Coturnix japonica: one gene and its partner. The protein of the gene in region 2 purifies or fractionates together with the protein of the main gene of each other region. This does not show direct contact. Links are inferred from orthologs where the notes say so. Each region holds a gene or a part of one and is shown on either strand. Other genes may lie near its edges.

Region 1 (3,747 bases), on a different chromosome or scaffold from region 2:
GAACCACAGAATCACCAAGGTTGAAAGATTCCCAAGATCATCCAGTCCAACCACCCACCTACCACCAATATTCTTCCACTAACCCACGTCCCTTAGTACAACACCTGAATGTTTCTTGAATACCTCCATGGACAGTGACTCCACCACCTCCCTGGGCAGCTCATTCCCATGCCTGACCACTCTTTCAGAGAAAAAATTGTTCCTAATATTCAACCTCAATCTCCCCCGGCACAACTTGAGACAGTTCCCTCACCCTATCACCAGTTACACCAATCTCCATTCAAGCAGTTGTAGAGAGAGCTGAAGTCTCCCCCGAGCCTCTTCTTCTCCAGACAGAACAATCTCACTTCCCTCAGCCATTTCTCACAAGACTTGCGCTCCAGACACCTCAACAGATTTGTTGCCCTTCTCTGGACACACTCCAAGGCTTCAGTGTTTTTCTTGTGGTGAATGGCCCAAAACTGAACAAAGTACTCAACGTGCAGCCTCACCAGAGCTGAGTACAGGGGTACAATCACTTCCCTGCTCCTGCTGGCAACACTATTTCTTACACAAGCCAGGATGCCATTGGCCTTCTTGGCCACCTGGGTGCACTGCTGGCTCATGTTTAGCTAAGCACCAACCAACACCCCCAAGGCAATTTTCTTTACACTTTTAAAGGATACGATGTTTGCAATTTCAGAAGCTGGCAGAACAAAACCTCTAAATTGTTGTAAACATCAGAAGCGTTGGCTGGCGCAGTAAGGCCAAACGCCTGAGACTGCGGTGGCCCCACAAATGGCCAACGAAGCTGGGTCAGCACTTCTTCAAAGTCACTGCAACACAAAACACACACTTTACCACCAAGCTACGGCACAACATGAAATGAGGGAGTGATGAGTCGTCCTGTACCTTGACAACTTGTCCTTAAGAATTTTATGCCAAAATTTAACAGTGGATCTCACAAACGAAAGAAGATGAGAACAAGATGACTCCTGAAGTTTAATATCCAGTTCTGCCATAGACGCTAGAGTACTGGCTGCCTCCGGAACATTGTTGGTCATCAGATACTGCTGAATGTTATCACTATGAACACAAGAACATAAATACAAGAAGAGTTGAGACAAAAATTCACTAAAGATAACACAAAAGAACCATCATATTGAGAAACTGGCAGAAAACATGCTCAATCTGAAATACTTTAACGAGGTTACCACTCCCATCACATACATCCTACAGCAAGGATTCACGAAACAAGTTCTTTGTGTGAAGTTCCTTAAGTTGCCTGTCACCGAGACCTGAAGGCAGAAGGAAAGAAGGGAGGCCCGAAGTTCTTTGAAGCACTGCTCTTTATGGAACTTGTTCAAAGATCTGCTTTTCCTCACGCTTCCCAGGAGGAAAACTGGAAGCAAATTTCAGACTGCAGCACACCTGTCACATTTTCATAGCTCAGACCAAGTTGTTTCATAACTTAAGTCTCTCTGTACAAAATCTGACCCAAAGGAATCTTCCAATTTCTGACATTCTTTACAAGCATTACACAAAGTTTTCCACTGAAGGAAGCTACAAATCACATTAACTAAAACAGCACTGTTCATTCCCATTACGATAAAATCAGTGTACCAGAATGAAAACTCAGAATCACGAAGTCTGAAGCGTAACATTTCCGCTCAAGATATTCCAGTATTATTTTAGTTCTTACACCATAATTTACAGTGGGTGAAAGAGTTCCATCCACATATCGACACAGTTACTGTTCTCTTCCTTAAGCCAGAGCAATAACTTCCAGTTCTCACCAGAGAACACGTTAACAGTTTATATGGCCAGATGACAACTTGCTGCTCTCGTTTATTCCTTAAATGTGATTATTTAACACTGAATCTTTGAAGAAGCTGTGTGATACCACTAGTAAGAACTCTCCATAAGTACATCGGCTTTACCTTAACTCTTCTATTTGGGAAATCCATTTCAGATAGGCCAGGTGATGCTCAATCTCCTCCACCTGGCTGATCAGCACCCCGAGATCCTCCATCCACGGCTCAGCTTTCTCTAAGTGGCTGCTGATGGAATCGGACAGGAGAGTTTCTTCCTCTAGAAGCCGATTCAGAGATTGTTTTGAGTCCTCTGCATTCTTTAAGGCGTTCTGAATTCTTTTAGGGACTTCGGATGAAACCGTGAGAACCTGCATTTACAGACATGCATTAAGCCTCACACAGAAAAATCACACGGAGAATGAGCACAGACACTTACCTGTTCTTCCAGCTGCCTCTTGTTTTCAGACAGCTTCTCAATGAGGCTGCCCAGCTTCTTCAGAGAATCATAGTCATTCCCAACTTCTCTTTCCACAAATTCTGAAACGTAGTACGGGATATCGCAGCGATCCGGATCTCTGACGACTTCTTTCTTCGGCACATTAACGGCTGCCATGCCTTCTTTTTTTCCGCAATGTTATTTACGTAATTTCTACTTGGTTACCACTAAGGGAACACGACCAACTACCGACCTACTGAGGACACGGGGCTCCTGGGAACGCAGGGCGATTCCTCTTCACCTGAACATTAAACGAGGCCTTTAATAGCCATGCCGGCCTTTAAAACGAGGCCTTTAATAGCAATATCAAACCGCCGGCCCCGCAGCCCCTCGCTCCCCGCCCCGCCGCGTCAGCACAGCGCGGCCCAAGGCCGCACACATCACAGCCGGGGCGGGCCCAGAGGCGCATGCGCACCCGCCTCCCCCTCAGCCACCCCCATGGCCGCGCCCGCCCCTTCCACACAGCTCCCCCATAACCCCACCTCAGGGAGCACAGAGCCGGGAGCACCTTCCGTTCACGGCGTTTTATTCACACAAGCAGCACGAATTCCCTATTTGGTTTAGAATCGTTTAAAATGCAGCTTCGTTCTGCCTCCCAGCAGCAGGCTGGCTCAGCCAGGGACAGAGCGAGGCGCTACGGACTGACACACCGTTGTGTTTGGTTAACTATTCCCAGTACCTTGTCTTGGTGAAGCTGAAAATGCACACATTTTCCCCGGAAGAAGCTCGTGTTTAATTAAAACAGCTGTGCCCTGTGGCAGCACACAGCCAGCCCGGCTGACCGCAGCAGCTTCTTGGAAGCAAACAGCCATCAGTACCTTCACTCAGCTCTAATTTTCCTAATGCTGTACTTTAATATAGAGATCTCAAGGTGTGCTGAACTGATAAAAACATTCACTGCTCGCTGAAACAGAGCGAGACGAACATGTGCCCAGGTCAGAAGCCATAAGCCTGCTTCTCAGAGATGCAGCAACACAGCTCAAGCGACCTCATGGTCCATTCGTTACAAAGCACCAGTCACTAAGGCCCGTATTACATTACAACCGGCATCTTGCTAATAACTACTTAATTTAACTGCTTGCACTAATAAAAACTTAAAAAATACAAATCTCTCACTGCCACCCTTCAAAGATTTGTACAGAACGTAAGTAGGAAAACACTTTGTACATGTTAAAATCTAGGCCGTGCCAGCAGTTCACTCAGCGTAACCAGGTAGTGTTCAGCTGCGTTTGGTTTTTAATGCTTGTGTCCATCTTCAGAACTTCTCGGATCGCCATAGTGGCGTAAGTGGATGGCGGAAGGGAGAACTCCATCTTCAGTGCCCGGAATTTACCATCTATCGTAAAGAGGAGAGACAAAGCAAAAAGAAAGTAAAGAACATAAATAATGCTTACTCTGAGTGCCATCCAAACCGGACCAAAGTTTTCCACCGCCATCCCTGATCTCATACAACAGCCT
Region 2 (3,747 bases):
CCCAAGGCACGGAGCATCAAAATAAGGAATTCTGACTTACTTCCGCTTCCTTACATTCAGCTCCTCAGAATCTGGAACAAAAATAAATGCTGTTTTAGCATATTACTCAACACTGCACAATCACAGGCTGATAAAACAAGTTCCTTGAAAGATTTTCTTTCCCAGAGATGTAATCCCAGTTGGCCTGGTTCTACACCAGGGAACGTGGATTTCAAACGTCTGTTTTCCACCAGGAAAAGACAGTACATAACAGCAAACGTTTGGTTGGGAGAATAAAACACCTGAGATGAATCACTTCCCTGAGGGCTCGGCTTCGCCCATGGGCTGTGCTGTTCTCTTCCAGGACACTCAGACTGGCCTCATTCCAGCCACTGTTACAGTAGCTATGGAAACCACAAATTAAATCCTACCAGTTCCCTACGTGAATAACGTGGCTGTATGTTAGCTCCTGAGATCACACGGTTTGCTCACAGCAGAAGAGAACGTTGGCAATGACAAACACAAACCCTCCTTGCTAATGCTACAATTGAAACACCTGTTTCAGCATGAATTCCTGCAAGTCTCCTCTGCTGTACAGGTAACACTGCTCATGTTCTCACCTATTCAGTGTTTCTTTTATATCTTATATCTTATATCTTGACAAGAAGTGAGTCAGTAATTTAGAAATACACCTCTAACACCTGACTTTCCTCTTTCTTTACTCATAAAATTCAGGTCAATTAAAGAAAAGGAGATTGAACTTACCACTGAGAGCCAAGGGATCCTGGGAGGCAGGAAGAGAAACAAAAGAAAAGATTACAAAGGGCCAGTGAAAAGGTTCATGAGGAACAATCACATGGAATCACAGATTCAAGGGCCTCCATGCACAGTATGGCACCTGTGCCCAGTATTTAGGTTATCCATAGGAAAAACAAAAGGTGACTCCACCCCCAGCCTAGGATGTACCTGAGGCACAGCCACCAAAGGCAACCAAATGTCATAAGAGACCATCTATAAAGTAATAGTAGAGAAGCAGCAGCACCAGAACATACTGTACCAAGCAGCTCACTCCTCATCTTGCCTGTGCAACGAGCCTTGGTCTGCAGATGAACCGTTTTGGAAGCTGGGGTTCTCTCCTTGATCGTAGTAGGAGTACGCCCAGGGGCTAAGAACTGATTTGCCAGTGCCTTTTCAGTTGATGAAGACTGTAAGTAAGAAGAACCAACGAGAAAGAGTCACAAACATCATTCAGTAGCGTAAGGCCACCTGGATGTATGGCCAATGAGGATTTAGGGAGCACTTCCACAGCTGCTGGAATGGCTGTGGAATTTTGCAAACTACAGCTTGGAGAAGGAAGGAAGAAGTTTCAGACTTCACACAATACCCTCTTTCAACAAAATACAATATATTTATTCACTCTTGTCGAGAATTGCCTGATAAGATTTTAACAAGTGTTATCTTGGGATGTAAGATAAAAGCAAGCGTAGGAACAAGGCAACAAGGAGAGTTTAAGAGGAGAATATCTCTTAAGTTTTTCCAAGGTAAACTAACATATCTTACCAGTTTTTCAGCTTCCAGAAGTCCCTTTAGAAAGTCTACTTTACGTGTGTATTCATTGAGCAGTTCTGGGGCAGGCTTGCTATTAGAATTGGGAAAAAAAAACATGTGAAAAGCAGTAAAGCATTACCAATTTCCATTGTTTAGAAAAGTCTTCAAATCAAATTAATCAACGTGGGCTTTTTCAAGAAAGAAATAGACTCAAGTTGGGAGCATACCTGCACCCCCTCAAACCACCTTGCCGAGGCACTGTGACTGCAGCAGCTCAGGACACAGCCAAGCAGAGGAACACTGTGCAGAGCCGAGGCTGACAAGGAGAATGAAGCGTGTATGTGAACATGGCACAGCTGTGCAACTGCCTGATGCACTCGGGTCAGTGCAACCCCAGATACGTGAACAGACTGGGTGAAGAACGCTCTAACAGCGGCCCTACCGAGGAGCTGTGGGTGCTGGTAGATGACAAACTGAATGCAGACCAGCAGTGTGTGCTTACAGCCTGAAGGGCCAACGGCATCTTGGGCTGCATCAATGGGGGATGGGAGGGGTGGCTCAGGGCATGGAGGGAATTGTCTCCCACTGCTCTGCTCCTGTGAGGCCCCATTTGGAGGACTGTATCCTCCAGCACAGGAAAGACATGTAACTTCTGGAATACATCCACAGGAGGGCCACGGTGACACCAGAGAGCACAAAGTATGGTGAAGGAAGTAAGGCTCTGAGGAAACCTCACTGTGGCCTCCCAGTACTTAAAGTGAGGCTGCAGACAGTGTCAGGACAAGGGGGAATGGTTTTAAAACCATCAGAACTCCAAGATATCACACAGGGAGGTTTTTATACTAATAGGGCAGTGAGGCCCCAACGCCACGATGTGATCCTGGCAGCCCTCACCTGCACTGCTTCTTCAGCTCCCGCAGCATGTCCTCCAGGGCGGCCACGTACTGAGAGAGAAAGGAGAGAGAGAGAAAGGAGTCAGCATTGCGGATAGATATTAATATTAATCCCGGCAGAAGCCGCAGCACGGCTGACAGCGCAATGGGGTTTAACGCCCTGACACCGGGCTACCTCTGTTTATTCCGAGGAGCAGAATGATGCTGCTGAAGGCCGAGGGCTGTTCCCGGCCAGTCCCTCCCCAACACAAGGCCGGGCCGCCCCTCACCTTCTCCAGCCGCCACTCCTCGGGATCCCGCCGCTCCGCCGCCAGCGCCTCGCACCGGCTCAGCAGCCGGATCAGATTCAGCTCCAGCCGCGTCGCCGCCATTGCGAACAGCCGGCACCGGAAGCCACCTCAGCACCGCTTCCGGGCGGCGCCATCTTAGGGCGGGGCGGGAGGTGATGGAGACGCTCGGCCGTTGTAGGCGGGGCTCCCCACACAGCACAGATACAGGCAGATAATAAACGTCGATAAATAGACACAAACTTTGGTGTATTTTTTTAAAAAGTGCAATGTATTAATGAACATTTTTGTACATTTGGTCTCAGTTAAGGCTATTACAACACGAACAGTTCTGTAAACCGCACAAAGTCGTCATAAAAACATACAAAATTAAGGCAACGTACACTGACCCACACTCACTGTTGGTCCCATTAAAGTCCACTGTAAGGCAAATGGAAGAAGGCACGGCAGCAGAAACGGGACGCTATTTTTTCTTTACCTGTACATTCATGAATAAGTTCACAGCCTTCAAAGCCTTAAAAATCTAAAGTCAACTTCAGAAAGATCCAGACAGCTTCAGTATTTCACTTCTCCGTACACACAAGGTGGGAATAAGGGTCTGAAAACCTCCGTTTTACTTTTGCTGTTGGTTCATATTCATCTAAAAGTTCCTGAGGGTGGGTCATTGCAGACCCTTGTGCAATGTAGATAGAGTGGACTTTATCAGTTCGTATTGCTGGCTGCTCCCTTCGTCTCACCACTATTGGAGACTCTTCATCAGCTGAAGCCTTGCCCTGAGATTCGGTACATTTGAAAATCCCAGGAGGAAGTTTGATGTTTGCTGTTGGCATCACTGGAGTTCGACGGGGCACCTTAATCTTGGACAGTGTAAAAGACAATCTGCGTCTTGAAGCCAGGGATGCAGACAAAGAACTTGAAGAGGTTTGCAAAAGAGAAGGCACTGTGCAAATGTCTTTGGCAGGCACGTCAGAGCTCTGAGCGCAGCACTGGACTCCAGAAATCGTAATTCCTTTAAAGAAACAATACACTGAAAGCATGCA

The links. The genes of interacting proteins can lie anywhere in the genome.
Region 1: the proteins of USE1 (region 2) and RINT1 purify together in Homo sapiens (co-immunoprecipitation; 3 studies listed by BioGRID and IntAct, counting the BioPlex papers as one, with this or other methods). This does not show direct contact. The link is inferred for Coturnix japonica from reciprocal best matches to the Homo sapiens genes USE1 and RINT1.

What each region holds. Positions count from the first base shown.
Region 1 is NC_029516.1:12,589,320-12,593,066, reverse strand, and holds the start of RINT1 (RAD50-interacting protein 1), read right to left. Parts: upstream 2,568-3,747; 5' UTR 2,407-2,567; coding exon 2,230-2,406; intron 2,162-2,229; coding exon 1,920-2,161; intron 1,066-1,919; coding exon 892-1,065; intron 816-891; coding exon 666-815; intron 1-665. Other genes in the region: PUS7 (pseudouridylate synthase 7 homolog), read right to left, coding at 3,489-3,625. UniProt on the Homo sapiens protein: Involved in regulation of membrane traffic between the Golgi and the endoplasmic reticulum (ER); the function is proposed to depend on its association in the NRZ complex which is believed to play a role in SNARE assembly at the ER.
Region 2 is NC_029543.1:3,207,539-3,211,285, forward strand, and holds the start of USE1 (vesicle transport protein USE1), read right to left. Parts: upstream 2,846-3,747; 5' UTR 2,792-2,845; coding exon 2,690-2,791; intron 2,472-2,689; coding exon 2,422-2,471; intron 1,619-2,421; coding exon 1,540-1,618; intron 1,185-1,539; coding exon 1,032-1,184; intron 764-1,031; coding exon 745-763; intron 72-744; coding exon 41-71; intron 1-40. Other genes in the region: MYO9B (unconventional myosin-IXb), read right to left, coding at 3,271-3,716.